3 linked regions of the Canis lupus familiaris genome follow. The protein of the gene in region 3 purifies or fractionates together with the protein of the main gene of each other region. This does not show direct contact. Links are inferred from orthologs where the notes say so. Each region holds a gene or a part of one and is shown on either strand. Other genes may lie near its edges. The genes, in order: RPAP1, POLR2G and POLR2M.

What was found.
Region 1: the proteins of POLR2M (region 3) and RPAP1 purify together in Homo sapiens (affinity purification with mass spectrometry; 3 studies listed by BioGRID and IntAct, counting the BioPlex papers as one, with this or other methods). This does not show direct contact. The link is inferred for Canis lupus familiaris from reciprocal best matches to the Homo sapiens genes POLR2M and RPAP1.
Region 2: the proteins of POLR2M (region 3) and POLR2G purify together in Homo sapiens (affinity purification with mass spectrometry; 4 studies listed by BioGRID and IntAct, counting the BioPlex papers as one, with this or other methods). This does not show direct contact. The link is inferred for Canis lupus familiaris from reciprocal best matches to the Homo sapiens genes POLR2M and POLR2G.

What each region holds. Positions count from the first base shown.
Region 1 is NC_049251.1:8,860,741-8,870,525, reverse strand, and holds the start of RPAP1 (RNA polymerase II-associated protein 1), read left to right. Parts: upstream 1-4,747; 5' UTR 4,748-4,832; exon of another isoform or gene 4,833-5,100; intron 5,101-5,838; 5' UTR 5,839-5,914; coding exon 5,915-6,095; intron 6,096-6,353; coding exon 6,354-6,502; intron 6,503-6,986; coding exon 6,987-7,076; intron 7,077-7,663; coding exon 7,664-7,784; intron 7,785-8,804; coding exon 8,805-9,026; intron 9,027-9,785. UniProt on the Homo sapiens protein: Forms an interface between the RNA polymerase II enzyme and chaperone/scaffolding protein, suggesting that it is required to connect RNA polymerase II to regulators of protein complex formation.
Region 2 is NC_049239.1:54,434,303-54,443,870, reverse strand, and holds POLR2G (DNA-directed RNA polymerase II subunit RPB7), read left to right. Parts: upstream 1-4,500; 5' UTR 4,501-4,702; coding exon 4,703-4,714; intron 4,715-4,833; coding exon 4,834-4,943; intron 4,944-5,898; coding exon 5,899-6,058; intron 6,059-6,791; coding exon 6,792-6,842; intron 6,843-6,937; coding exon 6,938-7,003; intron 7,004-7,099; coding exon 7,100-7,171; intron 7,172-7,368; coding exon 7,369-7,402; intron 7,403-7,617; coding exon 7,618-7,631; 3' UTR 7,632-7,838; downstream 7,839-9,568. UniProt on the Homo sapiens protein: Core component of RNA polymerase II (Pol II), a DNA-dependent RNA polymerase which synthesizes mRNA precursors and many functional non-coding RNAs using the four ribonucleoside triphosphates as substrates.
Region 3 is NC_049251.1:23,180,171-23,189,933, reverse strand, and holds the start of POLR2M (protein GRINL1A), read right to left. Parts: upstream 6,114-9,763; 5' UTR 5,980-6,113; coding exon 5,867-5,979; intron 3,685-5,866; coding exon 3,037-3,684; intron 608-3,036; coding exon 397-607; intron 1-396.

The sequences.
Region 1 (9,785 bases), about 14 Mb from region 3:
GAGTATAGACAAATCTCCCATGCAGAAGAATTATAAAAAAATTTATGTAGATATTCCACTCTTAAGGAAGGGGTAGTATCCCTTCACATTCAAGTGTGGGCCATGCATAGGGACTTCCTTACAAAGACGATGGGATGGAAAGCAGAGGTAGGGGAACTAAGTTTACAGTGGAAAGATCTGAATTTCTTCTGCCAGGTGATTAGGAGATTAAGGTTAGCACCAACAGTGGTAAGTCATTTTGATAGTAGGTGCCCCTGATACAATGTGATAAAAATGACATTTCAGCTCTATGTTCTTCCTCCCCAAAACCCATAATCCCAGTTTAATCATGAGAAAAACATTAGGCAAATCCTAGTTGAAGGATGTTCTGTACAATCCTACCAGTACTACCTTAAACTGTCCAAGTCATCAAAAACAAAAAAAAGTCTACAAAACTGTTACCATTAGAGGCATCTGAGTGGCTCAGTCAGGTGAGTGCCTGACTCTTGATTTTGGGTCCAGTCATGATCTCAGGGTCCTAACTAAGATCCAGCCCTGTGTCAGGCTTTCCATTCAGTGGGGAGTCAGCTTCTCTCTCTCTCACTCTCCCTCTCCCTTTGCCCATTCTCCTGCTCATGCTCTCTCTCTTTTTCTATGAAATAAATAAATCTTAAAAAAAAAAAAAAAAAAGCAAGCCTGTCACCACCAGAAGAAGCCTAAGGAGACATGACAATTAAATAGTCTTGATGGAATAGAGAACATTAGGATAAGGTTGAGGAAATCTGAATAAAATATGGACTTTCGTTAGTAATGAGGTGTCAATATTGGTTCATTAATTCTTTTTTTAAAAAGACTTATTTATTTATTTGAGAGAGAGGGAGTGCATGTAGGAGCAGTGGGAGGGGCAGAAGAAATCGGAGAGAATCTCAGATTCCCCTTGAACTAGGAGCCTGAGGTGGAGCTTGATCCAAAATCAAGAGTCAGATGCTTAACCAAGTGAGCCACTCAAGTGTCCTGGTTCAATAATTCTAATAAATGTACTGTATTAATGTTAGATATTAAAAACTGGGACTCTTGGCTGGCTCAGTAGGTTGAGCATGTGATTCTTGATCTCCATCTCAGGGTCCTGAGCTCAAGCATCAGGCATAGATCTTACTTAAAAAATGGGTGAAGGGTACCTGGGTGGATCAGTCAGTTAAGTGTCTGCCTTCCACTCAGGTCATGATCTCAGGGTCCTGGGATCAAGTCCTGCATCCGGCTCTCTGCTCAGCGGAGAGTCTACTTCTCCCTCTTACTCTCCCCTGTTGCTCTCCCTCAATCCTTCTCTCAAATAAATAAATAAAATATTTTAAAAAAATGGGATGGGGGTGTCTGGCTGACTCAGTCAGAAGAGTATTGACTCTTGATCTCAGGGTTATGGGTTCAAGCCCTACTTTGGATGTAGAGATTACTGAAATAAACTTTAAAAAAATGGAGGGTGGGCAGCCCGGGTGGCTCAGCGGTTTAGTGCCACCTTCAGCCCAGGGTGCGATCATGGAGACCCGGGATGGAGTCCCACGTCAGGCTCCCTGCATGGAGCCTACTTCTCCCTCTGCTTGTGTCTCTGCCTCTCTCTCTCCTCTCTGTGTGTGTCTTTCATGAATAAATAAATAAAATAAAATAAAATAAAACATAAAAATAAAAAATAAAATAAAAAAATGGAGGGTGCCTGGCTGATTCAGTCAGTGGAGTGTTGACTCTTGATTTTGGGGTTGTGGGTTCAAGCCCCATTTTGGATGTAGAGAAAGATTACTTAAAAGTAAAATCTTCGGGGTTCCTAGGTGGCTTGGTCAGTTGAGCCTCTTACTCCTGATTTTTGCTCAAGTCATGATCTCAGGATTATGGGATTAAGCCCTATGTCAGGCTCCGCTGTGGGACTGCAGCCTGCTTAGTATTCTTTTCTCCTTCTTCTTCTACCACTCCTTTCCCCCCACCCTCTCTCAAAATAAATAGATAAAAATAAAATCTTTTTAAGAAGTGAGGAAACTATGTTAGGGTAAATGGAAACTCTTTATAATTTTTCTGTAAATTTAAAACTATTCTAGGGGCTCCTGGCTGGCTTAGTCAGTGGAGCATGTGACTCTTGATCTTGAGGTCATGAATTTGAGCTTCACATTGGGGGTTGGAGATTACATTAACAAATAAATACATAAAGGGGTACCTGGGTAGTTCAGTTGGTTAAGCCTCTGCCTTAGACTCAGGTCATGATCACAGAGTTCTTAAACCCACATGGGGCTCCCAGCAAAGAAGGGATTCTGCTTCTATCTCTCCCTTGCCTCTCCCCCTGGTTCATGCTCTCTCTCTCTCAAATAAATGAATAAAATCTTTTTTTTTTTTTTAATTTTTATTTATTTATGATAGTTACAGAGAGAGAGAGAGAGAGGCAGAGACACAGGCAGAGGGAGAAGCAGGCTCCATGCCCCGGGAGCCCGATGTGGGATTCGATCCCCAGACTCCAGGATCGCGCCCTGGGCCAAAGGCAGGCGCCAAACCGCTGCGCCACCCAGGGATCCCCAAATAAATAAAATCTTAAAAAAATAGATAAATGAAATCTTAAAAGTATTCTAAAATAAAGTTTATTTTTCAAAAAAATATCTTCATATTGAATAATTTAAAAAAAATCCTTATTATCATATAAAACCCAGTTTGTGTTTAGTTTTCCCCAATAGTCTCAAAAAACATCTTTTTACATTAGGCTTGTTTGAATCAGGATCCAAACAAGGATAATATATATATTTATTTATTTTTTGCATCTTTTTTTTAAAGCTCACATATTTAACTGATAGTCTCTTATGTATTTATAAATCTATAAAAGGTCCCCCTTCTATCCTGGACAGGAAATTTAGAGAAGAAACTTGGTTATTTGTAGAATTTTCCACAACTGGGGTTTGGTTCATTGTATTCTTGTGTTATCATTTAACATGTTCTTCTATCACCCATATTTCCTGTAGATTGGTAGTTAGATCTAAATCCTTCACTAGATTCAAGTTCAATTTTTTTGGCCTGAAGGCTTCTTGGGAGATGTTTTGTACTCCCAAATGCATCAAATCAGAAGCAAAATATGTCCAGTGGTCTCACTTTTAGCTGACCCCTTGATGTTCATAAGTTGGCAACCTGATCCATCATATGTAAGAGCCTCATCGACCTTTCACCTAATAGTTTTATCAATCATTGATGATCATTGCCTGGAGCGATGATTTTATTAGGGGTTGCAAACAATGATTTTCTACTATCATTCTTCCAGCATTTTTAGCTCTAGTTCCCTTTCCTCACTCCCCATAATTTCTGACCAGGTCCAGTACTATTTTGGATCCTAAGGATGGCTAAAGCCTAGTAACTGAAATTTACTGCTGCAGTTGTGACCAAGAGAACTAAAGAAAGATTCTATAGAATTCCTGGGAGCTTTTAGAAATGCATATTTTTGGATCCTGTCCAAGACTTACTGAATCCTAAAGTCTTGAGGGTGAGGCCCAGTAATTTGTTTTAACAGGCCCTCAAAGAAACAAACAAAAAAACAAACAAACAAAAAAACAAGCCCTCAAGGTGATTCTGATGCCTGCTAAAATTCAAGAACCGATGGACTAACACTGGCTGCCCTAAGATGGCCTTCAGTCAAGCAATGATTTATTAAAGTCCTAAATTCATAGCAACATCCTGGTTGCTGAGCACTACTGATGCATAAAAGAAGGCCTGGTGCCCCCAAGGAACTCACAGTCTATTCAAGAGAACAGCACAGAGGCTAGTGAAAATGTGACCAGTGATAGCTGATAATTGGCAGTGCATTCCCAACAAGCCACACAAGTGGTAAAGTGGAAGAGTCCAAGGAAAGCTCAGTGAATAGGCCTGGCTGACAGAGGGTTTGTGTGTGTGTGTGTGTGTGTGTGTGTGTGTGTGTGTGTGTGTAATATTTTATTTATTCATGAGAGACACTGAGAGAGAGGCAAAGACAGGCAGAGGGAGAAGCAGAGTTCTTGCAGGGAGTCTGATGCGGGACTCAATTCCTAGACCTCAAGATCACCACTTGAGCCAAAGGCAAATGCTCAACCACTGAGCCACCCAGGTGCCCCCTGGCAAAGGTTTTAGAGTACACTCCAGCTAGGACTTAAAGGAAAAGAAAGACTCTGTGGGTAGGAGGAGGGAGAGAAAAAAGGAAGGATTTCCAAGAAAAGACATTTTCATGAGCAAAGGCAATCAGGCTGTTTCCTTCTCTCTTCTCACTAATACCATTCCTACAGCGTTTCTCGCCTTTCCTTTCACATGCTTATCTTCTTGCTCACCCACAAATCCAGGGGGGCGGTCATCTTGGGTACTGCCCATGGGTTTAGGATGTGATCATCCGGACTGGTGAGCGCAGAGGGGCGTCTGAAGTACAGTTTGCCTCTGTCACGGGTGTCGTACGTGCAGAAGAGCCTGTGCCTGCTGTACATCCGAAGGATGAGTGTTTTAAGTGTCAGCACAGAGCTTACGTGGTGGGGTAGAGCAGGAACTAGCCGTATTTCTCCGGCGCTCAGGGTCCCCCGCGCAGGGGCACCCGGCTGGCTCAGTCGGAAGAGCTTTTGCGACTCTCCAGCTCCGGGTGGAGCTGGGGCCCTACGTAGGATATAGACTTTACTTAAATAAAAAAAAACTTGGAAAAAAAAAAAAAGGGGTGTGTGCATGTGTGCGTCCTCGCGCTAAGCGAGCAAACCCCAGAGGGGTGGAGCCAGGCCGGGGAGAGGCGGGGCTGGGTTGCGGGGCGGAAGCCCCGACCTGGTGACGGCGGAAGTCCGGCCCTTGCGGGGCAAGATGGCGGAGTCCAGGCGGCCCTAGGGCAGGTACGGGGCTACGCTGGAGGGAAGGACTTCAGGGTTCCCCGGCGCAGGGCTCTGCTATAGGGTATCCAGTTCCTTTGTCGGAGCTTCCCAGAGTGTCTTTGCTTTGCACTGGAGTGGCCGCGGCCTCTTCGGTGTGGAGATCCCGACTACGGCCTTCCATCCGCGGGGCTGCTTGAGCTGAAACTCGGTGATTTCTCTGCTGATTCGGGTGGTCCAGAAATGTATGCGACCGCAGAGTCCTAGGGGCAGTTGTGGGGCTCGACAGAGTGTAAGTTTTGTACTTCTTTGGTGAAATTTATTCCCAAGTGTTTTACTCTTTTTGATGCGATTGTAAGTGATACTGTTTTCTTAATTTTTTCTGATTGTTCTTTTTGTTGGTGTATAAAAATACAGATGATTTTTATATGTTGATCTTTCTTAGCGCAAGGTTGTTTTGTTTTGCTTTTTAATAATTTGAACACCTTTAGGCCAGGCATATTCTCTCAAATTTGATACAGAATCATTAGTCCCTGGTATGACATTTATCTGCCTGACTCCTTTTTTTTTTTTTAAAGATTTTATTTATTTATTCATGAGAGACACACAGAGAGAGAGAGAGAGAGAGAGAGAGAGAGGCAGAGATGCAGGCAGAGGGAGAAGCAGGCTCCATGCAGGGAGCCTGACGTGGGACTCGATCCTGGGTCTCCAGGAACATGCCCTGGGCTGAAGGCAGGTATTAAACCGCTGAGCCACCTGGGCTGCCCTATCTGCCTGACTCCTGATGCCCTTTTTCTTAGGTTCCCTACAGTTGTTCCTGAGAATTTTTATCATCCACAGATTGTAAAGAACCTTAAGTTGGCAGTAAATATTGTTAGGCTGATGACATCCAGGAGGGGTAAATAGGGAATAGCAGTAAGGTATGAATGAGAAGGAATGAGTTGATGTGAACCTAAGAAGTATCTTCTCTGATGCACAATAAAGAATCAAGGTTCAATTGCAGAGGGCCCATCAACTTTATTGCTTATAGGGGTGAATGAGAGGGAATCCCCACACCCAAGCAGTGTTGGAAAGAATTGCACAAGAGAAGTAGCTGGCGTGTCAAGATGCTGTCGAGACCAAAGCCAGGCGAGTCAGAGGTGGATTTGCTGCGCTTCCAGAGTCAGTTTCTTGCAGCTGGTGCAGCTCCAGCAGTACAACTGGTGAAGAAAGGAAATAGGAGAGGTGGTGACACTAACCTGGACCAGCCTCTGCTGCAAGATCATCGGGATGTGGTGACACTGGACAGTGAGTGGCTGAGGAGGAGAGAGGGTATGGCCTCGGGATCCTCTCCCTCTTCCTGATGTGGCTGGATTTTCCCCCTTCATTATTTCAGATACTGTGTAGCCTCTGTTGCTGCAGCCCCATTTTGCATGTGAAGAGACAGTGGGTTCACAGAGTTTAAATATCTTGTCCAGAGTGACACAGCTTGGGCCGGGGCTTCATAGCTGCCTTTCTTTCTTTGGTTTCCTCCTACCCTCACATCTGTTTTTTTTCCTTTTTCAGATCTCCCAGATTCACCCCCAGCTTTGGTTCCTGCTCCTTCAAAGAGAGCTAGACCCAGCCCTGGCTGTCTCCTACCAGAACATGAGGACCCTGAAGAGAGGCTGAACAGGCATGATCAGCACATCACTGCTGTCCTGACAAAAATTATTGTGCGTCTCACCCTGGTTGGGTGGGATGAGGCATCCTAGGCAGCAAGGATTTTGGTTGGGGGTGGTGAGCTGTATGAGTAGAGGGTGATTCAGAAAGGTGGGACTTAGGGGTGCCTGGGTGGTTCAGTCAGTTAAGCATCTACTTTCAGCTCAGGTCATGATCCCAGAGTCCTGGGGTAGAACCCTGCATTGTGCTCCCTGCTCCTTGAGGAGCCTGCTTCTCCCTCTCCCTATGCCACTTTCCCTGCTTGTGTTCTGTCAAATAAGTAAATAAAAATCTTAAAAAAAAAAAAAAAAAAAAAAAAGGTGGAACTTTATGCTCCTGCAGTCCATTTGGGGCTGTTTTAGAATCACTGTACTCAAAAAAGGAAGATGGGTCCATGACTCCCTAGAGATTCTAGTCATACAGAATTGGGGCCAGTAGGATAGTGTCCAGCCTGGGGAAATCTTAATATCTTCACTCCTTTGTGCTTTGTTGCTGCAGGAACGAGATACAAGTTCAGTGACAGTGAATCTGCCTGTGCCCAGTGGTGTTGCTTTCCCTCCTGTGTTCCATCGCTCACAGGAGAGACAAGTAGGCAAAGTGCTTAGATGGTACCTGGGAGACATTAAGTGAGCCTCATAGTGCATCTTCCTCAGGCAGATAATCTGAATAATAAGCAATTTTCTTGTTAAGGTAGCACCATGCTAAACCTGGGTGGCTCAGGGGTTGAGCATCTACCTTTGGCTCAGGGCGTGATCCTGGGGTCCCAGGATTGAGTCCCACATCAGGCTCCCCAAGGGGAGCTGCTTTTCTCTCTGCCTATGTCTCTGCCCACCTGACCCTCCCATCTCATGAATAAATAAAACCCTAAAAAAAAAATCCTCATAACAACCATGTAAGATAGATATCATCATCCCCATTTTTCAGGTGAGGAAACTGAGACTCTGAAAAGTTAAGTAAATTGTCCAACACCACACATCTAATAGAAGAGCCAGAAATCCAACCCAAATTTGTCAGATTTCCAGACCAGTCCTCCTATAGAGCCCTGCTTTTCTGAGGACTAGGGTTGTGATCCTTGGAGATTAAGCAAGTCCTTTTGTTCCAGTAGCCTTAGAGAAAAGAGGTTAAGAAATGACCAGGGTAGTAGTAGTCACCTGGGTTTCCTTTTTGTCTCATAGGGGAGGTCAGCAATATCTGGCAAGAGAAGCATCTTTGCCCAAGAAATTGCAGCAAAGAGAGCATCCGAAGCCAAGGTTCCACCAGTTAGAGAAGTTGTATCTTCCCTGGATCCACCAGAGGGTAAGCTGGGGTGGAAGAGGCTTGGGCAGGGCAGCCCCAGTGGCTTAGCGGCTTAACGCTGCCTTCAGCCCAGGGCCTGATCCTGGAGACCCAGGATTGAGTCCCATGTCCGGCTCCCTGCATGGAGCCTGCTTCTCCCTCTGCCTGTGTCTCTGCCTCTCCTTCTGTGTCTCTCCTAAATAAATAAAATTTTAAAAAGTGAAAAAAAAGAAGAGGCTTGGGCTTGGCCTTTTTGTAATACATAATCGTAGAGTCACTTTGTGGTATATGTCTTCCCTACATCAAATATGAAGGCATATTTATTTTTTTTTAAATTTTTTTTTTTTAATTTTTATTTATTTATGATAGTCACAGAGAGAGAGAGAGACAGAGACACAGGCAGAGGGAGAAGCAGGCTCCATGCACCGGGAGCCCGATGTGGGATTCGATCCCGGGTCCCCAGGATCACGCCCTGGGCCAAAGGCAGGCGCCAAACCGCTGCGCCACCCAGGGATCCCTTGAAGGCATATTTAGATGGCATTTGAGCCATCTAAAGAGGAATCTGTCCTTTATCCCCACTTACAGGATTGAGTTCGGGTGGTTTGGGTTTATATCTGGGTCTTAAGTACAGGGAGAATGCCGGCTGTTATTCTACCCTAGGAGAAAAGAAAGAGAGGTGTCTGGCAGAGACTGTAAAATAAAGATGAAAGCCAAGATTCCTTTAACAATGCAAAATATTAGCAAAAGAGCTAGGGACAGGCTTCTGGAGGCAGATGGCTGCCTGAACATCCAAGGGAAGAGTCAGAAAGTAGGATATTTCTTAGGGAAACATCCCTCAGGAAGGGGAAAAAAATGAGTGGAGAGGTCACCACCCAATCCAACCTGTGTTTATGTTATGGAGGGTAGGGGGGAGGTGTCTCCATGCTGTGCCTAGGAAATCTTTGGGGCCTCTGTCTGTCTCCAGAGCTAATAGGATTAGGGAAGAGGGCTAGAAGGCCCAGTTGGGATGAGGCGATGAAACTGATCATATACTTCTTCCAGGTGCTGTGTCCTATGAGGCACTCGCACCCAGGGAGCAGGGCTGCCAGCTTCCATGGGGCAGCCCTGGCTTCCAGGGACCCCATCTGGTCACAGGGAAGGGGCTCAGGAGCCAGGATGCTGAGCAGGAAGCCCAGACCATCCATGAAGAGAACATAGCAAAACTGCAAGCCATGGCTCCTGAGGAGATCCTTCAGGAACAGCAGCGGTTGCTGGCTCAGCTCGGTACGGCATACCTGGCTTTCCTCCTGAGACTGGGCTGGGAAGGGACTGCTACTTGCTGATGAAAGTTTACTGTGCGTGCCAGGCATTTTACTATTTGCATGCATTATTACATTCTGTCTTCAAACATTTCCTCTAAGGTAGGTAGTACTAACTTCATTTACTTATTTAAAAAAAAAAAAAAAAAAAAGAGTCTCAGAACTTGAAAAAACTCTTTCCCAGGTCATATGGCTGGTAAGGAACACGGATGAGATGTAAACCCAGGTTTATCAGGTCTAACGGGCCCTGCTCTCAACCACTGTATCATGTATGCTGTGCTAGTGTAGTGTATGCTAGATTATAGCTGGTGCTCTCTGGCACAGTTATGAAATGTCTTGGTATAGCATGATATAGCAGAGGTATAGCATGCTAGAGCGTGCTATACCTCCTTCCTAGTTTCTGTTCACCAGAACAGTAGCACCAAGTCAATCTTTTCCAGACTGTGTATCTAGCATCTTCATAGAGCATACGTAGATTAGGTTTCAGTAAATATTTGTAAATAAATCATCTAGAAGTGAGATAAATTGTTCCCCTAAATCCCTTCTCTTGGCCCCAGTCAGCATTTATTCATTTATTCCATAGCCCTTCTTTTGGACCTCTGACCTGGAGCCAAGCACAAGGATGTGCAGGAACCTGGGCGGGCCAGGGGACTGTGAAGAATGGAGAGGAGGGTGGGTGGGCACATCCAAGTGACAGGTGTGGGTCATTAAATCCCCAGGAGCA
Region 2 (9,568 bases), on a different chromosome or scaffold from region 3:
TAGGGTGGAAACTAGCAGAGAAAGCAGATCCCTCACCCACCAGCGAACCACCACCGGCGGACTCCGCCCCTTCCCACCTTCTCAGTTTCAATTGGCTCCAATCGGCCTTCCCTCCGCACGGATTGGCTCGCTGTCCGCTGCGTCTGCGAGGGGGCGCTAGTGGCCGTTGCTCAGGCAGCGAGGCGCAGGATTGGAGGGCGCTCCTGTCCTAAACTTTTCCTCCTCGTCCCGCCTTCTTTGCCCCAGAGACCTTTTGATTGGCTGAGCTTCCCCATCTACCTGAGGCCGTAGGAGGGCGGGGACCAGCTCCGTGGCGGGAAGCCGGTCACCCAGCAGGATGTTGTGCTCAGGGAACACCACCACAGACCGGTGTGATACTCAGGGGCCTCGGCTCCACCATAACCTGACGGTGGGCAACAGGTACGCCTCTCTGAAGTGCACGTATCTCCTGAAGGTCCCTCCCTCTCTCACAAATGGCAAGATGCCCTTTTGCCTCACTACCCAGTCTGATGGTTCCAGACTCCTGGCTCGGTAATGGTGGTGTCCGAGAACAAGCAGCTGCTCGAATGGTCTCATACTGTCCTTAGCCTGATCCCTGTAGACAGTTTACAACGAAGAGATAAGAATGCGCTTCTCTGTGTCTGGAGCTGTCTGGACGGTGCTGATGGGAGGGAAGGATGGGTGCAAGACTCTAACATTTCCCAGGACAGGAGAATAAAGAGCGTGGTTTCTGCTTTCTCTTTTCTTTCTTTCTTTCTTTCTTTCTTTCTTTCTTTCTTTCTTTCTTCCTTCCTTCCTTCCTTCCTTCCTTCCTTCCTTCCTTTCTTTCTTTTCTTTTCTTTTCTTTTCTTTTCTTCCTTTCTTTCTTTTCTTTCTCTTTTTAAAGTAAGCTCCATGCCCAACGTGAGATCAAGTCATATGCTCAGGATGCTTGAGTGGCTCAGTGGTTGAGCGTCTGCCTTCTGCTCAGGTCATGATCCTGGAGTCCTAGGATCAAGCCCCACATAAGGTTCCCTGCTCAGTGGGGAGTCTGCTTCTCTGACCCTTACCCTGCTTCCAGAAGCAGAGAGGAAGCTCTCTTCCCTCTCGCTTTCTTTCTCTCAAATAAATAATCTTAGAAAGAAAATAAATAAATAAACACCAGAAGAAATTTCATACTTCTAGTAGTAACTGTCCCCCAAGGAAAAAGCTTGTAAAGCTTTGCTTCTATGTGTTTGAGTATTAGTCGAAGTTAGAAAAACATCTACCATTTATTTAGCATTTGTTAAATGCTTAACAGTGTGCTAAAGATATAATCTAATTCTGTAATAGCTTTTCCTCTCTCCACTAGACAGAATGACAGCTTCAGCTTCATTAAGTAACTTGGCCAAGGTCACACAGGTAATAAAAGGCAGAGCTGAGATTGAATTTGAGTCTGCCTTCAAAACTCTAGCTCTAACTATTCTGTAGAATCTATCTTCCTAGAGTATCTGCAAGGGGGTTCTTAGGGTTGTTGTAGAACCAATGGCCAGAGGATTTAGACTTGGATTCGGTGCAGGATTATCCTAGCTGTTGGAAGAACTGGTTGCACAGTAGGTGGAGCCCAGAACCAGGAAGGGGGCAGTTGGGATGGATGATCCTTGCTCAGAGATTGCCCTCCAGCAGGACCTGCTGCTTCTGTTTCTCTTTAGGAAACAAGTGACAGATATCACAAGGGCTCCTCTAAAAAGAGATAGCAAAAGATCACTCAATCCTCCAGTAGACTTTTTAAAACTCTGAGCTTTTTATTTTATTTTATTTTATTTATTTTATTTATTCATTCATGAGAGACACACAGAGAGAGAGGCAGAGACACAGGCAGAGGGAGAAGCAGGCTCCATGCAAGGAGCCCGATGTGGGACTTGACACCAGGACTCCAGGATCATGCCCTAGGCTGAACGCAGGCGCTAAACCACTGAGCCACCCAGGCTGCCCAGTAGTCTTTCTTTGTATGCCTAATCTCAATACAGTTGATTGTTAAGTCATTGCTGTTTTCTCTTTCTATCCTATCTTGTCTCTCTCTGACCTTGAAGCTTTGGAAGCAAAGAGATCAAGGCTTGGAGAAAATTTATCATGGCCACCCCATGCCTGGGGAGCTCAGAGACAGAAAGGGTTCAGCCACTCTTGGCTGACAAAATCCAAAGGCAGAGAAACAAGTGGTGGTGAAACAAGAAAGGAATTTATTTCAGGGAGACCAACACTGGGGAAATTAATTAGCATCTCAAAGACTGTCTCCAAAGTGCTGAAAATACCCCTAGGTTTATACAAGGAAAATGCTGGGCAAAGGTGGGTGCGTATGGGCAGGTAGGTGGAGGTTAAATGGATCATTGTCTTGCAGGCAATTGTGGGTGGGGTTTTGCTGGCTCAGGACTGTCCTTTCTGCTTGAGGGGTAGTTTTGGTTTCCCTCTAGAGATGGTTTGCCCTCAGGGTCTCTGCAGGAGCCCAGAGACTAGCTGGAATGAAGAACTCAACAAAGTTTGAGGTCAAAATGGAGGCAGCCAAAGCCCTCTTGTACCCTGGGAAGCCATTAGGTTCTAAGATGGGGAGTGACATGATTCAACTTGAATTTTGAATACATTACTCTTGGCAAATAAAGATACAAAAAGATGTTCAATATTATTAGTCATTAGGGAAGTGAAAGTTAAAACTACAATGAGATACTACTACACAGTAGATAGAATAGGTAAATAAACCCTGCTAACAATACCAAGTGCTGGGGGATCCCTGGGTGGCGCAGCGGTTTGGCGCCTGCCTTTGGCCCAGGGCGCGATCCTGGAGACCCGGGATCGAATCCCACATCGGTCTCCCGGTGCATGGAGCCTGCTTCTCCCTCTGCCTGTGTCTCTGCCTCCCTCTCTCTCTCTCTCTCTCTCGAATAAATAAATAAAATATTAAAAAAAAAGTACCGAGTGCTGGTGAGGCTACCGGAGTAACCGGAAGTCTTATACCTGCATATGCAATTATATTTTACCATACCACAGAGGCACAATAGGTGTAAAGAGCATTGATAATAGTAAACTGTGGTAAAATAATTAGGAAGAGATGAAGTTAAGATTTTATTTTACTTTTTTAAGAAGTCTCTCTATGTGGGGCTCAAACTCCCAACCCCAAGATCAAGAGTCATATGCTGTACCAACTGAGCCAGCAATGCACCCCAGGAGGTGATGGCTCTTGTAGCTGGTTCTAGCACACCACTGTCCTTAAGATTGCCTTTAAGGGGAGGATGGCTGGGAAAGAAGAGAGGAAAAGTCAGGACTGCTGAGGCCCATTCATCTGCTTCCTTGCCTGATCTTTCTTTTTTTAAGATTTTATTTATTTATTCATGAAAGACACAGAGAGAGAGAGGGGCAGAGAGAGAGAAGCAGGCTCCACGCAGGAAGCCCGATGTGGGACTCCATCCTGGGACTCCAGGAACTCGCCCTGGGCGCCCCCAGCAGGGGCCAAACCGCTGAGCCACCCAGGGATCTCCTTGCCTGATCCTTCAAAAGGGATCCCCATGGAGTTTTAGTGGCAGACTGGTGGGATCAACTATTCCAGGAAATGGACAGTGTCCATACGAACTGGTATGTGACAGTTCTGAGGAAGCAGACGTGAAGTGTCTGTTCTTGCTGTAGGGTGGGTCAGGATCTTTTATTTACAACATAAAAAAAAAAAAAAAACCACCATAAAAACCTTACTCAGGCAACTGGGAGTTTGCTCAAAGCCTTAAGGATTGTCCGGCTCTTAAAAAAAAAAAGAAAAAAGGATTGTCCGGCTCTAGAACCAGCTGCCCTGGCTGAGCCTTACTCATGGGTCTGTCTCATGGTTTCTGCCTCTTTCTGCATGGCCCTTTTATCAGTCAGTCTCAACAGGGAATAGATTGCATTATCACTCCGGTTAATTGAGGGGAGTTTAGCAAAGCGACTGTCTACAAAAAAGTGGGCAGAGTTGAGGGAACAAACCAATCAATTCTCTAAGCCCCCCATGCGTGTGTGTCAGCGGGTTGGGGGGAAACGGGAAAGAGGAGTGCAGTGACTTGGTTTCTCACACCGGAGGGAGGACTGACTCCTGGGCTCTGATTTTGGCTGCTTCATCTCCTAACTACCTGCAGCAAGGAGTGGGGTGCTCCATTTTATTGAACAAATGACTGCATGAAAATCTGGAATGTCCAAATACGCAAGGGTCTTGGAGGTCAGACACTGCACATTTGAATCGTGACCCTCAAGTGACCTCAACTCTCTGAGCCTGGTCCCTCATTTGTAAAGCTTGCCTAGTGGTGTTGCTATGTACATGAAATGAGATAAAGACAGCTCCTTACGATGCTTACTATGTGAAGGCAGCCTTCAAATATTTGCCACACGAATGCGTTCTGCTAAAGCACTGTATTCACGTTGTCTTTTATTAGCTAATTAATTCCGTTTAACAGTATATCGCGCATCCCTCCTAGGCCAGGAAACTGTTCATTTAGAAGAGCCAGCATTTGCGCCGCAGAGGACCTGGGCCGGAAGGGCGGGGCCTCACCGATTTCCCGCCCACGACAGCGATGACCAATTGGGTCCGCGAAGGGAGCGGAGTCCCGCCCACTTGGCGGGGACAGGCCCGGAAGCAGGGTTCCGGGGGCGGTGCGTGTTTCCGGTTGCGTGAGAACCGCGGCTACCACCGAGGCAGTTTGGGTTTGGCTGCTGTCCGGTCCCGGCTGGGAGGATGTTCTATCACGTACGCGGAGCACGGGGTGGCCGCGAGGGCAGGGTTAAGAGGAGGAGCGAAGCGGGGCTCCGGGACGAGGAGATGCTGTTCCTCGTCCTTGCTTGGTCTCCATGCCGCTTTCCCCGCAGATCTCCCTGGAGCACGAGATCCTGCTGCACCCGCGCTATTTCGGCCCCAACCTGCTCAACACGGTCAAGCAGAAGCTCTTCACCGAGGTGGAGGGGACCTGCACCGGCAAGTGAGTCCCGAGTGCTTCGCGCCGCCTGATCTGCAGCCTCTACCCAACTCCTACTCATCCTGCAAGCACCTGCCACCTGCCCCCTGCCCCGGGGAACCCTCTCACCCTCTCAGGCACCCGAGGCAGTCACTTGCTTCCGGCCTGGGTTCCCGAGGTGCCCTCTGGATCGCGAGACTTACTTCAGCAGAGACTGGTCATTCGTTTACTCCGCAGACTTTTTTTTTTTTTTTTTAAGATTTTATTTATTTATTCATGATAGAGAGAGAGGCAGAGACAGAGACACAGGCAGAGGGAGAAGCAGGCTCCATGCAGGGAGCCTGATGTAAGACTCGATCCCGGGATTCCGAGATCACACCCTGAGCCGAAGGCAGGCGCTAAACCGCTGAGCCACCCAGGGATCTCTGGGAATCTGTGTTTTAAGAAGTTCCTCTTAGGTGATTCTGAGGCATCCTCAAGATTGAAGTCTCTTGGCTTAAGGACTGCAGTCTCCTTGGACATTTATTGTGAAACATGAGAGCAGTGTTTGGCATTATAGATACTGATCGGGGATCCCTGGGTGGCGCAGCAGTTTGGCGCCTGCCTTTGGCCCAGGGCGCGGTCCTGGAGACCCGGGATCGAATCCCACGTCGGGCTCCCGGTGCATGGAGCCTGCTTCTCCCTCTGCCTGTGTCTCTGCCTCTCTCTCTCTCTCTCTGTGTGTGTGACTATCATAAATAAATAAAAATTAAAAAAAAAGTTATAGATACTGATCTGTATTCTTCTCCCAACATGAAGTTCTGTGGGCAGGGGTGCCATCTATTTCCCTTTGTGCCGTCCCCTGACCCCCATCATCACTGATTTGTTGTAGATGATTTTATTTTTTTTTATTTTTTATTTTTTTGTTTTTTTTTTGTTGTAGATGATTTTAGAGGCTCTTGCACACACGATGCCTTTCTTTTTTTCATCCTCCTTACAGGTATGGCTTTGTAATTGCTGTCACCACCATTGACAATATTGGTGCTGGTGTGATCCAGCCAGGCCGAGGGTTTGTCCTTTATCCAGTTAAGTACAAGGCCATTGTTTTCCGGCCCTTTAAAGGGGAGGTCGTGGATGCTGTTGTCACTCAAGTCAACAAGGTGAGTCCATACATAGTGGAGGCAGTTGGGTGGCTGCTCAGAAGATGGGGGATGGGTCCCAACTGCTCTTGCTAACTCTGTGTCCTTGGGTAAGTCACTTTTGCTTCAGTTTCTACACCTGTCAAATGGTGCAGAAACCTCCCTTGGGGTCCTGTAAGTCAGTATGAGTTGTCAGCAATAGTAGTCTCCATTCATTGAATACTTATTATGGGTTGGGTAAGGTCCAAAACCTAACGGTGACTAAGGTCATGCTTTTATCCATTTTTATAGAAGCTTACGCCTGGAGAAGTTAGAAGTTGTCTAATGGCCAAGGTCATGTGATCAACAGGTGGTCAGATTGTGGACCGACAAGTGCCAGGCCTTGGCTCTTTAGTGCACTGTATTTGCGTAACTTGAAATGAAATCTCAGCAGAAGAGACATGAAAGCAAATGATACAATTCAGAGTGGATTCAAAATATGAAGAATATTATTAGGAATTAGATAAAGTTGGGAAGCTTAGGTGAATTTGAGGATAAAAGAAAAAGCAAAGTCGAGGTGCCTGCCTGGGTGGCTCAGTCGGTTAAGCAGCCGCCTTCGGCTCAGGTCATGATCCTGGGATGGAGCCCCGCAGCCAGCTCCCTGCTCAGCAGGAATCTACTTCTCCCTTTCACTGTCTATACACGTTTGCTCTCTCTCTCTCTCAAATAAATAAAAATTTAAAAAGAAAAACAAAGTCCCCCATTGTCCTCTTAGGTTGGACTTTTCACAGAAATTGGACCAATGTCCTGCTTCATTTCTCGACATGTAAGTCTGGGCGTGCTGGGGGTGCTAAGGAGAGAAGCCAGTCATGACTCTCTCTGGAAGCACTCCTGTAAAGCTCTGTCTTGCTTTCCTTTCAGTCCATCCCATCAGAGATGGAGTTTGACCCCAACTCCAACCCACCATGTTATAAGACAATGGATGAGGTGAGTGGGGAAGAAGTCCATGAGAAGGACGAAGAATGAGCCCTCCAAGAAATTTTGGCTTGTAGGTATCTGAGTATCCTGTTTACTCTTCCTCAGGACATTGTGATTCAGCAGGATGATGAGATCCGCTTGAAGATTGTGGGGACCCGTGTGGACAAGAATGACATTGTGAGTCTCTTGCCTACCTTCTTACCTGTACCAGGCAGAGCTGGCAGCTGTTGATTTTCTTACCATGCAGGGTTCCTGGGGGTTTTGTTTTCTTCTGCCAGGAAGAGGGGATGGGTGAGCAGAAGGCCTGGGGCTGGGCTAGAAGTTAGTTCTATGCTTGCTTAGGCTCTGTTTCCTTTCTGCCTTCCCTCCTGCAGTTTGCTATTGGCTCTCTGATGGACGATTACTTGGGTGAGTGCCTGATCGTGTGTCCAGGGTTGTTGCCTAGAAAGGGGTGTGTGGAGGCAGGGGGTGGATGTGGGACTTAATGCTCGAGTCACAGATGAAAGAAACTCTTATGACTGTCTGCTTGGAAGATCGGGACCTGTGCCTCATGAGATGGGAAGTGCATGGTGATGGCTGCCCCGAGCCTGAGCCTAACTGGTGTGCTTTTCCTGTCCTTACAGGGCTTGTGAGCTGAGCACCGGGGCCTCCTGCTCTGTTTGGTCCTCATCTAGGAGCTGTGACGGTCATGCTCCGCATATCGTCCAGAAGCCTAGTCTGGTTGCTGTGGGGAGGCAGAGAAGGTTCCTTGTCCACAGAAAATATCTCGTTCTTCTTGATGCTTAGCCACTCCCCAGGTTTTTGACTGTACATTCTAACCATAAAAGGTCCTTGTTCTCATGGAGGTTTCATCTCCTTTCTTTGGTAAGAACAACTCTTTCTTTGAAAAGGCTGGAGGCCAGTTGCTTGCTAGCCTCCCTTTTGGTGGCCTGCTGCCTCAAGTAGCCTCAGCTACCCAGGGGATCTGACTATCCCTTCTGCAGAGAGCTACCACTGACTTCAGTGAAGGGAAGGCCCTAATGTTAGGTCTTTGGCTTCTAGCAAATGGCATTGTCATTAGAACCACTCTGAGTCCTGATCTAGTCTCAGAATATTCGCCCTGCCCTCGCCTTTACTAGTAGCCAAAGGTAGAGCTGGGCATGAGGGAAGACAAGATAGTGAGGAGGGAGAGGGAAATAAGAGGATAGTAATGACCCAGACTATGGCTTCCCAATGCAGCCCTTCCTAGGAGGGATCTGCAAACATTTTTTTTTTTTTAAGATTTTATTTATTTGAGAGAGAAAGAGACAATATAGCAGAAGAAAAGGCAGAGAGAGAGGGAGAAGCAGACGCCCCATGGAGCAGGGAGCCTGATGTGGGGCTTGATCCCAGGACCCCAAGATTGTGATCTGAGCCGAGATCATGACCTGAGTCAAAGGCAGATGCTTACCCAGCTGAGCCACCCAGGTGCCCCAACAGAAGTCTTTATATATTAATCAGTCACTAAGCTGAATTGAAAATGTGAGCGGGCCCAAACTGTCATTAGGGTGACATAAACCAAAATCTATGAAATGACTGAAAGACTAAATAAACACACTACCCTCCCTCACAGTGTGCTCACACTCTGCTTTTGTAATACAATTTGTCTGTCTTGGGATGTCCTCTCCCAGCCTGTCTGCTTACTGCCTGTTACTCTAGCAAGTCTCAGTCAATTCTTTTTAAAATTTTTTTCAGCATTTTTGTTTCCTTGGAAAGTAGAGCTGTGTCATAGAAAGCGTGGTCTTTGAATTGGTGCAGAACTGGGTTCCAGTCCTAGCTGGGGGCCTTATGTTTTCTCATTAACCCTCTTTGGATGGTTGCTGCTAGTGTGAGATCACATGTACAAGTGGCTTGTAGAGAGCCTGGCCCATGATAGACCCTCAACTGTTGATTATAATAACCATGATATAATGCATATAAAGCAGTGATTGGGGATCCCTGGGTGGCTCAGCGGTTTCACGCCTGCCTTTGGCCCAGGGCAGGATCCTGGAGTCCCGGGATCAAGTACCGCATCGGGCTCCCGGCATGGAGCCTGCTTCTCTCTGTGCCTGTGTCTCTGTACCCCCCTCTGTCTATCATAAATAAAATAAATAAATATTTAATAAATAAATTTAAAAAACTGATTATCGGGGCATGTGGTTGGCTCAGTGGTTGAGAATCTGCCTTTGGCTCAGGTGGTGATCCTGGGGTTCTGGCGAGTTCCCTATCAAGGCTCCCTGTGGGGAGCCTACTTCTCCCAAATGTCTCTGCCTTTCTCTGTGTATCTCTCATGAATAAATAAATAAAATCTTAAAAAAAAAAAAAAAGAAGCAGTGATTATCAACTGGTGACAACTGTGGATGGTACTGCCTTCTAGTGGGTAAAGGCCAGGGATGCAGCTAACGTCCTACAGTATATAGGACAGCATCCACCCTCCCCCCAACAAAGAATTATCTGGTCCCAAATGTCAATCATGCTAAGGTCTAGAGACCCTGATATGAAGCATCCAGAATATTGGCAGGAACATGGTAAGAAAATGGCACTTGAATGTAGTTTTCTTCCTGCCTTCACCATCCC
Region 3 (9,763 bases):
AGTTCTCCCTGATTCTTGGTTAGCTTCTACCACCGAGAACCTCTTGCATGGCGTTTCCAAGGTAGAAGACAGAGAAGCAAGGCTTCTGCTAGCCTGACAGCATGGGCTTTAAGAGACTGGGGAATTTTGCAGTAGTCTCCTCCCCGTATTTTCTGGCAAAAACCACTCAGCTGCTGCACCTAGCTGTGAGCATCTCCAGCTGCATCCTGTGGTTCTAGCAGCTTCAAGACTCTCAGAGAACTAGAGGCTCACATCTGAAAGCTACTGGCATTAGCTGACCATTTCTCAAGCACCTACTCCCTTCTATCGAGTCCTATCCTTTCTGAACTTTCCAGAGTAAATTCTGACTTAGCAGCATCCAACACACAGACAAGAAACATTTAGAGCTCTAAATACCTCATAACTCTGTTTCTGCTGTTTCTGAAGTGCCAAAGATTCTTCTATGGAGAGCAGCTGGGTGGGCATATGGTGAAGTGGTAGAAGGCGAGCTGCTGTGATGTCATCGAGATGCTGCTTATCCCTGAGCCGCCTCTCTTCTGAGGAAAGGGGAGACCCTCTTCTCTGCCAATGGCTAGATGCAGATTCATCATTATGTTGCGAAGGTAATCTGAAGGAGGGGAAATTTGTATCAGCGGACTACTTTCTTTTTACAGACACACATTTACAACATTCCCACACAGAAGTGGCCTTCAACCTTAGCAGTGAATTCTCCTAAAAAGATAATAGTAAGGAGTTTACCAGTATTTATATATGTAGGTAAAAATCCTGTTTCTAAACATACTTCAAAACCAGTATGTAAATTAGCACCTTTTTGGAGAATAATGTGACAATCCACTGTTTCAACAAATAGGTAGACTGGTAAGTTCTTTGCATTTTCCTTCACTCCTCCAACCTTACACTTGAACTGAAGCCGTCTTTCCATCTTTTCATTCAAAAAACATTTGCGAAGGGGTTTGCTGTCCAGTAAAGGGAAAAAAACTTACGGACAGTTTCTGTGCAACACAATACCACCTGGATAATACCATACATAGAGGTGGTATACATACTATACATGTTGGCACAGTGCAACATAAAGTAAACGACCAGTTTTATTGGGAGACGGGGGAGGGGGCTGTCAGAAAAGCTTTAAGAAAGTGAATTTTGAGGAGTCTTGGAATAATAAATGCTCACTGTGTCAATGAGGGGAAAAGGCATCCCAACAGGGAGTGAGGGCCAACATGGTGCTGCACAAAGGGTGTTCAGGGGGTGGGGTGGCCAGGAAAGGCAGCGAGGTAAGGCTGGTAAGTACACCAGGCCCAGTCCTCAGCGAAGAGTTCTGTTCTATATAATAGGTTCAGATTTGCATTGTACAAATTTCACTCTGACAGCAGTGGAGAGGATGGACTGCTGGAGTTAAGACTAGAATCCAAAACATGCCAGTTATAGTCCATGAGAGGGATAAGAGCCTTCGTTTTGACAGGAGGACAAAAATAAGAATGATCAGAGATAAAGGTCAACGAAATATATTATGTAGGTCTTTACAGCTGGCAGATACAGAGATGAGGCAAAAGCAAGACACCTTAGGGAAAAAAACAAAGTGCTGACACTATGAATTTAGGGAATATGGGAGAAAGCATGGGAAGAAGTAAAAGTTCTATGCTATATATAAATCTAAAGTGCCACAAAACACCCACAGGGCCAGGTTTCATTGGTAACTGGCCACGCAAATCTGAAGTTCTATAAAGACCGAAGCTAGAGGGAGATGAGGGGCAGCCACCAGCATCCAGGCGGTACATGGAGCCAGCATGGCATGGAGGAGGCCAAAGGAAGAGCAGAAAAAAAGCCAAAAACTGCTCATTCTTGGAATCCCTCGACAAACACCTAACAGACTCATCCAGGCCCAGCCTTTCCCGATCTGCTCTGACAAGAAGCATCTGGCTCTCCCCACTCTGACTTCCAGCTAAATGACCACACTACCACAATCAGTGTATCCACTGACTACATGATGCTTTAGGTTTTCCAGCTTCCTGGAGGTAAGGAAATGTACCTCCCTGAACACAAGATGAGAGATTACTTAGAAAGAGTACAAAGATTACTTTTTGTTCCTCACTAAAAATTAATGTTCTATAATTCTGGTTTTTATACAGAAGTAAATAAAATGTTTTCAAGTTAAAAAAAATGGCAGGGTTGAACTTGAAAGTTTTTTTGTAATAGTTCTATAGTTCTTTGAAAGTTTTAGGTATTTTTAACTAGAGGTTTTCAGTTTTTCAAAGGCAGGCAGTAGTGATTCCACTTTGTATATGATGTTATACCCTGCTAAAGTCAGACAGGTAGGATACCAGTGGCTACTCCCTGAGGTGAATGTTACATCTGCACACAAGGAAGTAACATCCTTTTTTCTTCAAAGAGCTTCTCTTTTTCTGCAGATCTCAGTAACAAAACTATGGCGAGGAACTCAGAAGCAAGGTTTGCTCCTCCTGCCTCAAATGTTTTTGTGTCTTTAACCCCTTCTCAGCTACCTTCCCCCTCAAGTTGTTATGGTCTAGTTCAAAGTTCTTCCAAGTGTGGAAGCCTTGGGTTTTCATCTAGACCCTGAACTCCTGAGGAGCAGGACCTTTACTTCTGTGTCACCTCAGCACCACCTGCTTACATATAGTCAGCATACTAATATGTTTTGATGACAAGTCCATCAGCTTTTTTCCCCTTAGCTTACAGTCTAATCAAAGGGGGAACTGCATAACAAACAATTGTTGTGGAAAATAGTCACAATAAATTCTCAACTCTGGGTTTAATATCAAATGTTGGCTAAGCATCCTGAAATTTAATACTTCACCTGCTATGTGAAACCTATCCAATTTGGCTAAAAACCTAAAGTATTTTTCAGCATGAATCCTCCACTCCGGCCAGGCTGTTTCCACAATATGCTCTTTCCTAACTATAAGGAGGTCCCACACAAAGTCCACTGAACTGAAAGCATTCCTTCCTTTTTTTTTTTTTTTTTTTTTGGTTTAACAAATAGTACATTTCTGTGACCAGCCTGTTTCTGATAGTACTTACACATTAGTTTTAAATTTATGTGCTGGGGGCACTGGGTTTTTGGCTCGAATTTCTAGCACTTCCATGTAATGAGGCTTCTTCTGTGCCCCACTACGGAGCCTTCCCAAGTTTTCAGCACTCCTGCTCTCTTCTGAGTGCCCTTCACCCGGGTCCACAATTGTGATCCTTTGTAACTTATCAATAAACAGGTTGTAAGAGCTGCTAGAATTATCTTCTGCTTGACGTGAAACCCGATGTTGAGGGAGACGCACATTAGCTTCGGAAGAGGAAGGTGCACGGGCTCTGCTGCTGGAGGCTGGGCACCTATTCACTGTGTACTCCACTTCTGGAGCTTCTTCATAGCTTTCACCAAAAGGATGTACAAGTCCCTGTTGCTGTGAGGTTGTTTGAGATGACTTGATGTTACTTACAGAGGAAGAGCCACAAACTAGTGATGAAGTATCAAGTACCTGGTCAGAATTCTGGGCCTTATCTGTGTCCACATCAACAACTGCAATTGCTTTTTGCTTTAGCTCACAGTCTAAACTAACAGGATGAAACAGTTCACTTTTTCTTCTAACTTCTTCACATTCTGCAATGGCAGCTTTCAGTTTGGCAACAGAGTCTAAGATCTTTTTACCTTTGTCGGGCAATTTGCAAATGAATTTTCTGTTAAATGGGGAAAAAAACACACATGTATTTGTTAGAATCATGTTTTTAAACTTGAGATACAAAGACAAAAGCATTATCCTCAAAGGGAAAAAAAAATCTATCTTTAAGCCAAAAATCTGACTTCCTACTGCATCAGAACAGGAATAAAGTAAAACGCATTATCTAAATACTCTAAAAATACATGATGCAGAAATAAGTATTCCTCATCTGTCTAATTAGAATTTCAGCAAAAGTATTTTAAGCACATAATATCCTATAATACACCCCAAAACTCGCAGTTTTTAAAGTGTGATGTCCAAGGCCTTCCTAAGGAGGGGACGTGGATGGGTCTGCATGGTCAAAATTATTTTCATAATAATACTAAACCATTATTTGCCATTTCCATGCTCCTTTTCTCATATGGGTATAATGGGAGTTTTCCAGAGGCCACGTGATACTGCTCTGATGGCTAATCACTGTGTATTCTTGTGTTTTAAAGATCTCTCACCTGTAATTACTTTTTTTTCTAATTTATTTATTTTTGGGAAGAGAGTGAGCGCAAGACCACAAATGGGAAAAGGCAGAGGGAGAGAAAATCCCAAGCAGACTCCTGGAGCCGACGCCAGGCTTGATCTCCCCACCGAGATCCCGACCTGAGCCAAAACCAAGAATCCAACGCTTAACCGATGATGCCACCCAAGTGCCCTTCTCACCTGTAATTCCTAACACACCAATAAACACCAGTAGATGTTTTGTAAGTAGATGTTTTGTAAAACACCAGTAGATGTGTCTTGTAAAACAAGAGCTCCTTGGGACGCTCCTTAAGTCTTAACAGTATAAATGGGGTCCTGAGACCAAAAGGTTAACTCGCTGCTATAGATTTAAAAAACCATTCTCACAAAGTACTTGAACCTACTCGAAAGCTCCCAAATGGTCATTTGTCCCTTTTGCTGACTGACAGAAATTCCTTTTCAGTTTCTCTCTCTCTCTCTTTTTTTTTTTTTTTTTTTAATCTCTATTAGAAACGGAGGGAAGATAGATTACACCTCTGGCTCTCCATTCTCTCACATTACATTCCTTCCCACAATTACAACACCGAATCCCTCTCCAGCTGAGATTCCTACATGTCCTCAGCCTTCTCTCTCCGGATCCTCATGACCACTACTCTAGCTTTCCCCCACCTCCCCAGGATTTTATTTATTCACGAGAGACACAGAGAGAGGAGAGAGAGAGAGAGGAGGGAGAGAGAGAGAGAGGCAGAGACACAGGCAGAGGGAGAAGCAGGCTCCACGCAGGGAGCCCGACGTGGGGCTCGATCCCGATCCCGGGTCTCCGGGGTCACGCCCTGGGCCGAAGGCAGGCGCTGAGCCGCGGCGCCACCCAGGGGTCCCCCTACTCTATCTTCTAAGTACATCTAACTAACTCCCTGTCCAACTCAGCACCCCCCGAGTAAACTCAACCTCGGAGCTCTTCCCCAATTTTCCTGTTCTTACCAGTGGTCCTCCCTACAGGCTGGGAACTTCAGCCATCCCTTTCAACTACCTACCCCGATTATTCCACGCCTGGTCGGAGTTTTCCCAATCCGACAACTACTCTTCTACAGTCCCCCTTGCTGGGAACTTCTCTGAAAATAACCTCCAGCTGTCGCCTGCCTCGGATTCCTCCAAAACCATCCTGCACCGATCTGCTAAATGAAGCGTCCTTAAAAAAAATAAAATAAAAAAATCACTCTCATTATGTTGTTCACCTGCTAAAGGGAAGTCGGCCAGCTGGAGGGGACAAACTTTTCCTGCCTAATGCAGCACTCCAGACTCTCCCTCTCCTTCCTACAGCTCCCGTAGGAACGGGACCGAGACGGAACTGACCCGGTGTCCTGGGCCCGGTCCGGGCGGCAAGGGAGGCGGAGGTGCCACGGGATTTAGGCCACGGCCCCTCCCTTCAGGGAGCCGTCGGGGTAGCAAGGTCATTAGCACCGCGGAGGACTCAGGGAACAGCTGAGACTCCAGCAGCCGGCCGTTGGGCCCTCGCGCGGCCGCCTGTGCGGCGGGAGGCCGTCCGCGGGCCGGCGGCACCCCCGGGTCTGACGGAGGGAAGGTCACCTTCCAGGGCAGGGAACCCGACGCGGGGGAGGGCAACGAACGCGTCCCAGGGAGCCCCGACCGGAGAAGCCTGGCGGTGACTCGGCGGGACCCCAGCTTACTCGTTGCGCAAAAGTCTCTCCTGGCGCTTCAACATCTCCCGCAGCTCCGCCAAACTCCGCCGCCCCAAGTCCTCGGGAACTTGGGGCTCGAAGCCGCGGGCCAGCGAGGACATTCTGCGGGGGCTGCGGCTGGCGCGGCGGCGGGCACTCGGCTCCCTCGGCAGCCCCCGCTGCTGGCGCCGGATCCGCCGCCGGCGTGGACTCCGAGGTACGAGCGGGAGCCGCCATTTTCCCGGAAGAGCGGGGCTTCTTCGAGCCGAATCGAGCTTTATTGAAACACCGGAAACAAACACAGGCGAGGGGAAGGGGGCGCTGGGAGGAGCGGGGAGGGGCGGAAGTTACGTAAGCCGAGGGGGCGGGGCGCGCTGGCGCCGGGGGTCTCTTCGCGGCTCGTCGGCTCGGCTCTTCAGGTTTATTCGAAAAGTGTTGCCTGTAGCGCCGCTGTGACCCCCCAACACGTGTCCCCGACTCCTGCCGTTGTGGAGCTTACCGAGGGGTGGAGGGAGGCAGACACTAATCAGGTAATGGTGAAACAGCAGTAAGAGGGGCAGCCCGGGTGGCCCAGCGGGTGAGCGCCGCCTTCGACCGGGGGCGTGACCCTGGGGACCCCGTTTCGAGTCCCGCGTCGGGCTCCCTGCAGGGAGCCTGCTTCTCCCTCTGCCTGTGTCTCTGCCCCTCTCTGTTTCTCACGAATAAATATCTTTTAAAAAAGAAAAAAGAAGCCCCCCCCCCCCCCCCCGGCAGGTGCCTTCTGAGAAGTGGGATGGAAGTGGAAACTCGCCCTTGGTGAAGCCGGGGGAGTGTGCCGGACGGGGCCCAGGCGGCCAGGGCTTAGTGAGGTCCTCAAACTAAGTTGGAGGGATTTTTCGTGACTATCAGCGTTTCTTAGTGGGACTCAGTGGCATTCGGAGCAGGACATTTATGTGTCTGGCTTGCGCCCTCTGGTTCAGTGCAGCTCCCAGCTCGGAACAATCCCCGACGCCTCTACCAGTCCCCCCCCCCCCCCCCCCAGCCCCCCGACCCCACCCTCGGCCCGCCCCGCAGGTACACAGGCCCCTCCAGAATCCGCCGGAGGTGATGGTGGCAGGTGCCGGACAAGTCAGCCTGAAACCGATCCTTCCTAACTGCCCAATTCGCCCGTGGGAAAGCAGAGGCGCAAAATCAATGAGGTATTCCCAGGGCACAAAACTAGTTAAGTGGCCGCACCAGATGTCACTCCAATGCCCAGCTACTCTTTCTACCACACCCGTTTGGAAAAAATCTTCTTTTTTTTTCCGCCTATTTCCAAATGTTTAAAACTGTTGAAAGTTTTTTTTTGTTTTTGTTTTTTTTCTTTTCAGGTTGTTAAGAATCTTAAGAGTAGAGCAGTGTAAGAAGCATCCCAGGTGGCTCTGACTTTGTCTTTACAGCTCAGCTACCAGAGCTGTGTCCCAAAGCAAAACTAGGAAAAGCGTGCAAGAGTCACAACACGTAACGGTTGGGGGGTTTGGGCACCCCTATAACCTCCAGCACCACCTCCCCCCATTCTCTGATATGGAAAATCTTTAATTTTCTCAATCCTGTGTATAGTGCTGTAATAAATAGAGCTGTTCCCTCCCAATCAGATAGAGGCTCTTAGATAAAATCTGAAACTACTCCAGGGATACAGTTGAAGCCATTTCTGTATTGTCCCAAGCTAGTCCATTCTGATCAGAGTAAAGTATCCAAATTCTCAACATAAGCCCTGCTTGCAAAGACCTCAAGAACCTGCTCCAGGGCAGCCCCGGTGGCGCAGCGGTTTAGCACTGCCTGCAGCCTGGGGTGTGATCCTGGAGACCCTGGATGGAGTCCCACGTCAGGCTCCCAGCATGGAGCTTGCTACTCCCTCTGCCTGTGTCTCTGCCTCTTGGTGTCTCTCATGAATAAATAAATAATTTTAAAAATTAAAAAAAAAAGAAGAACCTGCTCCGCCAGCTATATAGCAGATACTTGAGTAAGACCTTGGAGTCAGGGAGTTGTCTGCTGGCAAGCTCCCCCAAAGCCTCCCTCAACCTAACCCTGAGCCACAGCTGGAGGCCTTTATTAACCCCACGGTAGTGAACCCTCCTGGTCCTGGGCCACTGGTGTCCTCCAGGCAAGGATGCCTTTCTCTCAAGACTCAGAATTTTGCCCCCTACCATCCTCCTCTAGCCCCTTATAAATCTAAATTCAAGCCTCATCTTCCCCCTAAGCCTTTCTACATTATTCCAGCCCCAAATTGCTCTTGCTCTTGAACATAACTATACCTCTTAGAGCTCAAACCTCAGTCTCTGAAGCATATTCTGCTTCTCCAATTGTCTTATGCATGGTGATTTCTTTTTCCTAACAAAACTGTGAAGTCCGGGAATTCTCTCAGGGAGTTAATGTTTGTACTTTTCTGTCTCTTCTAATGTATATCGCAGGTATTAGTTGATGGAATCTGTCTCTCAATTTTTCTCATAGCCTTCCTCTCATGCTCCTCTTAATGAAATGTCTCTTTCGTATATACAAATCTTAAGCTTTTTATGTAAGTATCAACCATAGTGATTGTGAATTCTCAGTGGTATGTGATAGAATCTTTTATACAACATAGCTTAGAACTTCAAGATGTCCTAATACAAATCTGAATTTCTAACAGCACCGATGCACAATCTAGTTCTCATCAGTAACCAAGAGGTTTGGCAAGTGAGAAAACATCACCCTAAAACAAAAGCGGGCTATTTGCACTTCAGAACGAAAAGAGGCAAAGTATTCTTTTATAACCATCAAACAAACAAATGAAAGGTAAGTTTAGAACACAGATTTTAACAGCAGTGTCTGGGGAGAAATGATATAAAATGGAGAAATTTAACAAAGAAGGAAACTGTGAATGACATTGGTTTTAACAGTCTCCAGCCAGAGCCAAATACTTGAAAAGAAATGGAGCCCACAAACCAACAATCCCTAATCTCTGCTAAAGAATTCCAATTGTTGGGCAGCCCCAGTGGCTCAGCGGTTTAGTGCTGCCTTTGGCCCAGGGTGTGATCCTAGGGTCCCGGGATCGAGTCCCACGTCGGGCTCCCTACATGGAGTCTGCTTCTCCCTCTGCCTGTGTCTGTGTCTCTCATGAATAAATAGATGACATCTTTAAATAAATCACTTTTCCAGTGGTACTTGGACTAATCTTCAGAGTATTAATCATCCTCAGTAAACTAATGAATTTGGCTATTAGCAAGAAAAAACGTCAAAATGAAGAATTAAAGGAGAGGACAGTTTCATCATTATGTGAAGTGTTGCCAGGATGACTTAGCCATTCCATTGCCACCACACTGCAAAGAGTGTTGTTTGAATGCAATTTAAAAGGACAAAAACGGGCACCTGGTGGCTCAGTCCATTAAGCATTGGATTCTTGATTTTGGCTCAGGTCATGATCTCAGGGTCCTAAGATCAAGCCCCACATGGAGCTCTGTGCTGGGTGCTGGAGCCTACTTAAAATTCTCTCCTCTCCCTCTCTTCCCCCGTGCCCCATTCATGTGCTCTCTCAAAAAAGGACAAAACAAAAACACCTGGGAAAGATTTCCATTAGTCCTTAGGTAGTTGAAGATAAAAATTACAAATCAATTGTAAAATTAGTAGCACAGATCCTCAGAATCTTCTCCAGGCTGCTCCTCTGTTTTCTCCCACTGGTTTTAGGCCACAAAACTGGCCATGGTATGCGTCAGGTCCACTAGAATGGCAGCAAAATTATTTCCCATCCCACATGTTCTGCTTACTATGTGAATTTAACTCTCCTCCTCTCAAGAAATGGGGTTGGGGATGCCTGGGTGGCTCAGCGGTTGAGCATCTGCCTTCGGCTCAGGGCGTGATCCCACGGTCCCAGGATCGAGTCCCACATCAGGTTCCCTGCATGGAGCCTGCTTC